2 linked regions of the Schizosaccharomyces pombe genome follow. The gene in region 2 interacts genetically with the main gene of each other region. Each region holds a gene or a part of one and is shown on either strand. Other genes may lie near its edges. The genes, in order: thi5 and thi1.

Region 1 (5,206 bases), on a different chromosome or scaffold from region 2:
CTATGCTCATATGACATTATACCGTTTGTATATATTTTTGTTATTTATTTATATGATACTTACTTAGTTTGCAAAAAGAAAAGAGAAAGTTCATAAGAAACCCCATATTACAGATTGAAGCAATTTAGGTCTTTAATAGATTTAATTTCTAAATTTGATTCTTCACCCATTAAAAGTAGTATCAGTGTTTCCCAATTTTAACAATGATACTGTGATTAAACAAAATACATCTCAATTCGAATAGAGACTTCTAAATATAAGTTAAAGCACGATAGTTGTTTTCTTAAGATGCAAGCAAAATTGATTAACTTTTCTTTCAAAAGAAAAATTAACCATGCATATGATTTTTTAGAAATGAAAGAATATTTAGTGAGTTTTTTTTAATTTTCTCCACTTGTTTATACCTTGCTCAAAGGACGCACGATTAAGGCCATCAGGAACTAAACAGAATGTAACACCAAGTCTTTCAACCTCTCTGTTCCTAGACTCATCATCAAAAAACACCATTTCTCGATAGTCAATTCCAGATTCGTTGTGGATCTCTTTGAAGTGATCCATTTTACTACCTATTTCACAATAACTAGTTAGCAATATGATTATTGATATTTTCTGTATTGACAAAAATGTATTAAAAGACATACCTGGCCAAGCTTTTACATAAGTGAAAAATTCGATAGCCGGCTTAAGACTTCCATCTATTGGTACCTTCATCAAATTCAATGCTTGTTTCGCATACTTGGGAGCACAAGTACGGCTAGCAACGCACAAAGTAACTTTTTGGTTCCTTAGCTCTTGTAAAATTCCAGTTATATCTGAGTAAAAACAAATCTCTGTGCCATATTTGTCAATCAAAACGCCTGGGTCATTTTTGGAAGGCTTAAATGGTGCAGTGACTGTGAAACTTTGTTAGAAAATAAAACATAAAGTAGATCAAAGTAAAAGATTTAATACCATGGGTATCTATCCAAAGAGGCCACAGAGTGTAGTCTAAGTCAAAAACAACGCATTTTGGGAATTCGATATTTTTTACCATATTTGCTTGATATTTTATGGTATTGGTTATTAGGTTCGTAAACAACAAGAATGAAAGTCTTTTTAAGAGTGATTTCAAGTTCAAAAGATTGACCGTAACGCTTTCAAGAAGTTTACTGCCAGTTTGCTAGTTCGATAAGATTGACACAATTTTAGTTGGTACGTTGATGTAATCCAATTTTTTTTAAAGAAAAATATATATATTCAACTTTTTTTGCATTAGTAATGAAAAAAACTTAGGAAACAAATGTTTGAATTTCATTAACTTTTATGAATTATTATTATTTAATTTAACTGTCTTTGATATTCTCAATAAACAAATAAACTGATACCAAAAAACACTGTGTAAATACCATGTTTTATAAAATTGATCAAAACTGTATACTACCAAATTACAGTCAATTAATCGTTGTCATTAACATATTCATTTAAACAATAAATTTTTTTACTGCATTTAATACATTTATATTAACCTGGGGACTTGACAGAGCTTACTAGCAAATTTAATTTTGCTGATGCATACTATTTAAAATTGAAGTAGCATTGCTACTTACCACCTTCGGGTACCTGTGACCGACAGCGAAATTGATTTACCTATATGAAAATCTTAAATGTAGCAATTGTTATTATGCGAAGTTTATGTGTCCCTCTGACTTTTCTAGTCGTTCTTTGTTTTTAGAAGCCAAAGAGGAAGAGTATAAACAAAGAAGGCGTGTTCCTTTGGACAGTAGAAGAAGAGTAAGGCGGGCATGTCTGTCTTGTCGGGCCAAGAAAATTCGATGCAGTGGTTCTGAACCATGTCAGGCTTGCATTGCTACGCCTTCGCAATGTAAGTATGCTGATTCTTTAAAAGAGCGTACTCCCTCAAAACAATTTATTGCGGAACTGAGTCAAAGGCAGAAATGCTTCGAATATCTGATGGAATTGCTGTGTCCTTCTCTTCCTCATGACACACGTAGTTTAGTCAAACTATGCAAACATGTCGAATCTTCATTAGCTTCTGGAAGCGACGTTCGTTCTTTGCTAATACCCGGGTCAATTGATCAATCTGTTTTAAAGGTTGCTGCTACAAACAATAAAGACGATTCGTCTGCTGTCAAGTCAGCAAACGTTTCTTTTCCTTCTTCATCTACTCCCCCCTCTTCGGATTCAAATTTCTCATCTATTCAAAACACTGATCTTAATACTTCCATCAAGTTTACTGAAAATATATCTGCTAATGCAATTCATGTGAACCAAGATAAGGTTATTAGAAGTGCCAATAATTTAATAATCAATTCCCAACCCATACTTCCTGTACGTTCATTCTTAGATGCTCTAGGAGAACCCATATATTTAAGTCCGACGTCAAGCACTTATTTTTTAAATTCTGTTTTAGCATCCTTACAGTTAAATTCAAGCAATACCCCAGAATCACTGCTCATTGACTATCAAAGTAAAATTCCGGAGGATCTCTCTTCCTCTTTATTGCCTTTAGAACTAAACACACTTCAATCGACCCCTACTTCAGTATCTGTAGGTTCAGCTTCTTCACAAGGAACTCATGAATATTCAATTATAAATTTGACCTCCAATCACTCATCTTTTTCATTAAAAGCTCTAAAGAAAATAGCACATAATTTGTTACCACCGGTTTCTGTCGCAGAACGTTATGCAAATGAGTTTTTCCTCCGGTATCAAAGTTTTTTTTACTTTTATCCTCCATCTGTTTTTTCTAACCGTTACCAAATCCTTGCAGATGGTTTAGTTAACTCAGATACGTTGGATACAGGATTTCTTGCTGTTGCTCTTTTAATTGTTGTGCTTGGTCACTTCTCAAATAACAACATTAATGTATTGCCCAAGGAAGTTCAGCTTAGTCATATTGATTCAATGATACAGATTTCAGAGCAATTAATTAGCTCTTTATTAAATCGCTGTACCCTTTCTTCTATTCAAGCTGTCTTTTTACTTTCACTATATCATTTTTTAACTGGAAATTTTAAATGTGCATATTCTTATTTAGGTTTTGCAATACATTCCGCGCATACCCTTGGTTTGGAGCATGGTTCAACTGATAACAGCACATTAAATGAAGTTTCAACTGAGGAGACTAGTATTCGCATATGCTGGTCCTTACGTGTTTTAGCCAGTTTTTTGTACATACAGTCTGGAATTACTCCTATCATAAATTTATTTCCAAATGGTCTGAATTCTTTAAAACTTCCTACCGTTGTCCCGGAGCTGGAGGCTCGACATTTACCTTCATCCGTTTTTCATTTTGTCGCTATAATAAAATACGCTGAGATCTCCGTACGGTCTCTAAATTCACTGTATGAATCAAGTTCTGATTATTTGATGGATGTCTCAAATTTTCCTAAATTACTATTAAAAGTTGAAAGAATCTACTCCCAAGCTCGTAATTGGAAGTTAAACTTAACCCATCAACAGCTTAATGGAACGAATGACACTTCAGATCTCCTTTTTCATTCCAACGTTAGCTTACATTTATTTTATCACTACCTAATTGTCAAGGTAAGTTGTCCCATTATGTTTTTCTATTTAAATAATTGGTATTCTGTTAAACCTTCTTCATTTACGAAAGGCCTTAACAATAAACCAAGCTTGGAAGATGTGTTTTCCAATTTGGAAACCTGCTATGAGTCTGCAAAGGCAATTGTTCAGTTATCATCGAAATTGTTATCTGCTGGTCAGATGGACAAGTGTTTTTATTTGGAGTTTGAAATTTTATACTGTTCGGCAATTGTGTTATTTTTATTCTCAGTTATGCACCTTGGTGCAGAAAACCCATTACTTGAAAGTATTTATTTACTGGAAGATATGGGATCACGTACTATCGATTCAAAGGTTCGACTTGAAAAGCTTAAGAGTGCAATCGAAATATTTGATATAAACTCAGCTACTGAAATGCCTATAAACGAGCCATTATCCGCTTCTTTTGAATCAGTCAACAAAGAAAACAGCCAGAGTGGATATATGGCTTGGCAAAATTGGGTTACAGAATTAAGCTCGTCTAACATTCCTTTAGGTCATGCTTTGGGTAATCCTGAGTCGAACAATTCATCTAACTCGTTCAAACCTTCTCATCCATCTCAAAGTTTTTTGGTCAATGAATCACTCGATTTTTCTTCGAATCCTAAGGAGCCTCCATTCCTTCCGTGGTCCGAAGCATTGCTAAATATGGATATGCAATTGAATCGTTTAGGACCATAATGATCTTATTGTTTAAACATAAGTTTTATTTTGAACGTTTTCGTTTTGTTACATATTGTTATACTTATACTTCATTATCATTAATAATGCTAACTCTAAATAAAAACTTTTTAGTCTATAATAATATTTGGACCGCTAGCTATATTGACTGTTCCGTATTTCTTTAACATAGTCTTGAAGTAGCAATACTGCTGATTTTGTAATTTTATAATGTTTTTAAAAAAAATGAATAAACTGTCATTAAAACGCTTCATGAAACTATCAGTAACATCAATTTTGCCGTAATAAAAGTTTTGTTATAACCGATATCTATACGATTCTTGAAGGAAGTGTCAATTTTTTTTTTATATTAGTATTAACGATTGAAAATGAACAAAATAAACAACAGCATCCAACAATAATCATTTACATGATCTTTTTTTATTTTTAAGATTCACAAAAGCTGGTAAGATACTGTTAGCTTTTAAAACCATTTCCTCATATTCCCCTTCAGGCGAACTAAGAATAGTAACAGCACCTCCAGCACCTATTCTCCAATAATCATCAGCTTTGTACTTAAATGCTGATCGGATAATAACGTTGAACTCAGCAGAACCTGTTACATCCCAATAACCAAGCGTGCCAGAATAAATTCCTCGACCATGTTGCTCCAAAGGTTCAAGCATCCTCACGCTTCTTAACTTAGGAGCCCCAGTCATTGAACCGGGAGGAAAACTTTTTGACAAAACATCCCATGCAGTTATTGGGGACTCAATTCTTCCATATATATTTGATAAAAGTGAGTATACATTTGAGTGTTCTTCAACAGAGTATAGTTCAGGTACATGAACACTATTTTTTTTTGCCAACTGATGCAAGTCATTACGAATGAGATCTATAATCATGTTCAATTCCCCCATATCTTTTTCATTTAATAGCTTCTTTCTTGCTTCCTCCAAAGACATGTGTCCCTCTCTTTTTA
Region 2 (5,083 bases):
AGGACTCTACTGACGTTCATCTTCCTACGGACTTTTCAGCTTCCTCCTCTCCCTTAAGATCATACTTTAACGAAGAGGATTCATTCAATAATGCTAGTGCTGCACATAGTTCAAAAGAATCTGACATACCTTCTGGTGGTGTGTTTACAAAATATCGTAATCATTTTGGTAATTTGATGACATCTGAAGAAACAAAAGCCCCGGATAACAATGATTTACATAAAAGACTTTCTGATGTTATCAACAGTCAGCAAAAATTTTTGTCTTTGTCCCCTCAGGTATCTAAAGATTATTATGATGTTCGCTCAAAACTAAATGATACCGCGGGCTCATTTTCAGGTGAAGAAATGCGTGCAATTGATGATAATTACTATGCCAGTCGTATTAAGCAACTGGAGGATGATTATCAAAAAGCCATAACATATGCCAATTGCTCAGATGAGTCATTTCAGCAGCTTAGTCATTCATTTATGTAACTCTATTCATCAACTAAGGATTTTTTATCTCTTTTTTGGTTTGTACAATTTTCTTAATAATTTTTTGAAGTGGTTTGATTTTTTCTACTTAATCTCAAGTCGTTTGACTACGTATGTAAATTACCACTATATTTAACAATAAAATACGCAATTATTTCTACTGCATTTACATTGACTCATTTATATTTTAAAAAGTAATGAAATTTAATTAACTTTTAAAAAGTAAGAGAAAATTTAAAGTATTAGATTGATGAGGATACTCTCAAGTGCAAATTACTAAACTGGTATTAAATGCTAATTCCTTAACCACGCGAACAAAGCATATGATGAATTACGTAGAAATAATTAAAACAAACAAAGACCTGCAAAAAACCATTAAAGATTCATCCATTTTTTTCAAGGGTCAAATTTGAAGTTTGCTCTGCAGTATGCGAAGACTGCTCAGAGACATTAGTAGGGCCTAGCAGTTCCGTCCAACTCAAAAACGTAGGAGCCGTCCATTGTTTATCAACTTCCAAATTGAGAACTGGATCCGGTAGAAAAGTTTCAGGTGTGAGCAAACTGGGTTGGTTACTAACATAACTTTTGTTTAGACCCGGAACATTATAGAGAGATGATGTTTGGTCAAAAGGTTGGAATGCTTCGTTTGGAGTACTATTACTACCATTTGAGCTTTCTCCTGTAAGCTTAAAGGTAGAAAGCATGTCTCCATGTGACATATCTCCCACCCAGGATTGCCAATTTTGAAAACTATTTTGGAAATCTGCAATCGGATTATTAATGTCTGGGGCATTGCGCCTAGATAACTGTTTGTTAAATGACTTAAGGTAGTTTAGACTTTCTCTAGCAAATTCACACCTTGAACTCAGAAATTCCAATACCTGCCATAATTTTGTGACTACAGCTTGAATATCCTGAGAGTTTTCGTAATGAAGAGACAAGAGTAAAATAGGTGCGCTTGCAAATGGAACATGCAGCCCGAAAAACGATAAGCTGGACAAACACTTATGTGTTAATAAAAGATGTGCTATGTTTATGACCCTTGTTGCGCTTTCAACACATAGCTGGATGTAGCGACGATTTTCAGCAGTTAAATCTTTATCTTTTAATTTCTTTACCATAATAACTCTCGTAGTAAGCATAATCGCATTATCATATATCATTTGAACATGTGCATTTGACCGGAAGAGTGGATGCTGAACAGCCGATTCATCAAAAACCACAGAAGAATGTAAATCACTTTTCCAAAGCTCTAGACGAGCATAAATCCTACGGACAGAATTAACTTGCGATTCAAAGCTTGGAGAAGGGTTCCAGTACAGCGAATCGCAAATCTCATTTGTTAACTTAGCCAAGTTAATAACGGCACGCATGTTTTCGACGATAGACTGAGAACCCGGTATTTCTAAATCGGGCAATATAACAGGGTAAGGTATAGAAATGCATTCCAAAGGTATGCTAGGGCGTCTTCCAGTAGTCATGCTTACAAAACGGTCAATACAGAAAACTGACCACAACAATCGGTTTCTCAATTCCTTGGAATTTTGGGTAAGAGAAGGATCATCAGAGTTTTTGTGAAGTCCTAGGGCAACCGCAAATTTGATCGCCAAACCAAAATATGCAAAACTAGATTTTTCATAAATGGTAGATTGAAGATACAGACCAATAAGTAGGGAAGATTGAACTGCACTAACGTCTGATTGTAAAAGGACGAGTGGAAAAATGCTCAGCGCAGCTGAAAATAATCTGTTACCAATGTTGGAGGCATGAAAATTCGACTTGCTGACATCTTCCTGTTGTTCTGCCGTATACTGATTGCCAAAAGCAAGAACCATAAGTAGAATGCACAAAAATCCAGCATCAATTTGGTTTTCCATCGCTAAAAAAATCTCTAATCTACATTTGAAAAAATGGGGATGATAAACAAACAAATTGGTTTGGACGTTGATAAAAAAAGAATTGATTAAAAATTCAACCACAGCTTTGGAAGGGATCAAGCTTCTTGCATGTAAAAGTAATTGTTCATCAAATTCGGAATATGAGACGGAAGGTGATAAACGCTTGGAATACAAATCGTCTTCAGAAATTGATTCAAGCTCCAATTCGTTTTGCAAACGTTCAATAAACGCCTCAGAGGTTGTTGGTCCAAGATAAAGCGTATCTTCAAGTTTCCCTACTTTGAGTTGATCTCTGAACGAAATGCCTGGCTGTACCTCACCTGCAATTAAGGAAGATGATGATTGCATTTCTTCCGTAGTTCCACTTATATGATTTCTGCTTAGCTGATCATTAATTCGTACTAATGTGTCTAGCTCATTTGTAACTTCAGCTATTTTTGACACAGGCAAGTTTTCGTTTTCAGATAACTTTTTGGATATCGAAATTAAATTTTTGGTTTCGAGGTTGAAATTTGGGCACATTCGAGAGAAAATGTATTCCAAACATAGTTGTCTTTCTGATAACTCTTCTAGGTATTCACGCGACAATGTTTTATTCTGTGATTTTTGTGCATAAACACACTCGATATTTAACGTTTTGCAACTTATGCATGGCTGACCACCATTACATTTAATCTTTTTCTGGCGGCAATGCTTACATGCTCGAAACACACGTCGTCGCTGCTCTGGAGGTACCCGCCTTTTCTTTTTTCGCTCCAAATCTTTAACATCGGCAAAAAGTTGATTTTTTAAAAATCCTATTTCTTCATTCATCTCTCTAGAATACCAACCACATTTCAGTAAATCCCTAATACAATTCAATCCTAAAGAAATCCCAAAATTTAGTAAATTATCGTTGCTTTAGGACCAAGAAATCGTCAAATTGTAGTGGAAGAGAATATGCGACTTTGCTTGGAAAATAAAATTTTGTTAAGCTTCACTGTTAATCCTAACGCGCTTTAGATTAAAGTGGTTTAGTGCAAATGAAATCGTCAAAATAATGTACCATTAAGAATAATGCAGTAATCTGTGTTAACGCGGTTTAATCGCTTTCCTAAAACATTTTTGATGGTATTCTCCAGTATCCAAAAAAGAAACCAATCTAAACTAAATTGTAGCTTTTAATCGTCTTAAATTGTAGGATGATAAAATCTACGTTTACCCATCACTCAATGTACAAGATATACAACTGAACAGCAACAAGCTTTCTACGTTAAAAATTTCTTCAGGAAAAATAAATTCAGTTCAAACACTATCATAATTGCAGTTTTTTTAATCATTGAAACATAATAAACGATTTTATTATTTAGAAAAAAACACCAAAAAATTAGACCTAAAAACCATTTGCAAATTGCATGTTTGAATAAAAGACCTTGTACGTTCTTAAAAATGCTTGCAAGTTTGCTTAAACACCATATGTAAGCATGTCAACTAGAAAGCGACATAAGTAAATTAAAACCAATCCAATCTCTACCTTTTTTTTCTTCTGACCTCGTTAGGATTTTTCCTTCCAGCTCCTATCTGAACGTACATTCGATCTTTGGTAACACCGGTAAGCAGAGAGGGAAGATAATCCTCATCCATAAGATCGATTTCCTTCTTTCGCTGCATGCGGCGTACAGCACGTTGATATTCAGGCTGATCTTCACGTAAAACAGGATTTTTCTTTCCTTTACCATTTGAAGTACCATGAACTGGCTTAGGAAGGGAATATTTTGTGCCTCGGGTTTTCCACTCGAAATTCTTCTTCAAGTGCACTTGAAATTCACCTTTAGAGTTGATACTGCACGTGGTTTTAATTAACGTGTTACCACCGCAGGAAGGACAGAATTTTTTCTCCATGTCTTTCACTACTGTATAGCATCCGTGGCAACGGAGAACGAATCTCTTAACATTTTGAATTTTGAAACCATCTGAAGAAACTAGATTTAGCCCAATTTGCAATAAGACATTTTGCATCGAAAAATCAGTAGTAGCGCAGGCGACTTTGAGATGTTTGGGTTGAACAAGGCTTTCACCGACGCCATCCTCAGCTTTCTTTTTGCGAATATTTGAAGGAGTAATCCATCCATCATCTTCATCATCTTCCTCATTGTCTTCTTGCTCTTTATTTTCTTCAGTATTCGGATGTGCTTCTTTATTATTGGAATGTTGTGTCGTTTCACCTTCCAAGACTTCGTTCTCTGCGGATTTAGGATCACTGTTCTCAGTTTCTTTTACAGAAGCTGTATCGCTTGATGTGGGTTTAGATGCATCTTCAGTAGAATTTGAATTACTAGGGGGTTTTCCATTGATATGCTTTTGACCAGGATACTTGCGAAGTCTCCAGTCACCACCATTAAACTCGACTTCTAACTCATAAGTCAAAGCCAAAATTTGAATATCGGTTACAGAGAGTGAGGAGTAATCACCGGTTTGCTTTGCAAATTCGGAAACTATAGTTTGTTAGAAAGCTGCTACCAAGAATCAAAGTATTTATGATGGAAGTAGTTGAAAAGAATAGCAGGTGTAAGAAAGCGATCAAATTCCAATATGATTAAGCTTTTTCACCCACCTTGCTTTCACTTCTCAGAGATGACTGTGCACAGAATAAAATCTAGCTGGTTGCTTTCTTCAACCACTATACAACTTTCTTTTTAATAAAACATACCTTTTTTTATAAATTCTGGT

What was found.
Region 1: of thi1 (region 2) and thi5, extra expression of one rescues a mutant of the other (dosage rescue), as found in Schizosaccharomyces pombe (one study listed by BioGRID).

The regions. Positions count from the first base shown.
Region 1 is NC_003423.3:3,694,160-3,699,365, reverse strand, and holds thi5 (DNA-binding transcription factor Thi5), read left to right. Parts: upstream 1-1,660; 5' UTR 1,661-1,671; coding exon 1,672-4,245; 3' UTR 4,246-4,402; downstream 4,403-5,206. Other genes in the region: SPOM_SPBP8B7.31 (acid phosphatase), read right to left, coding at 329-393, 447-566, 642-893, 952-1,033; abz1 (para-aminobenzoate synthase), read right to left, coding at 4,647-5,206. UniProt on the Schizosaccharomyces pombe protein: Transcription factor that activates the nmt1 promoter. Regulation of thiamine repressible genes. Negatively regulates conjugation during meiosis, by inducing negative regulators which delay conjugation. Involved in thi1 regulation.
Region 2 is NC_003424.3:3,210,083-3,215,165, reverse strand, and holds thi1 (DNA-binding transcription factor Thi1), read right to left. Parts: upstream 3,294-5,083; 5' UTR 3,188-3,293; coding exon 860-3,187; 3' UTR 657-859; downstream 1-656. Other genes in the region: cell end marker Tea3, read left to right, coding at 1-476; ribosome biogenesis protein Nob1, read right to left, coding at 3,884-4,848, 5,064-5,083. UniProt on the Schizosaccharomyces pombe protein: Transcription factor that activates the nmt1 promoter. Regulation of thiamine repressible genes. Positively regulates conjugation during meiosis.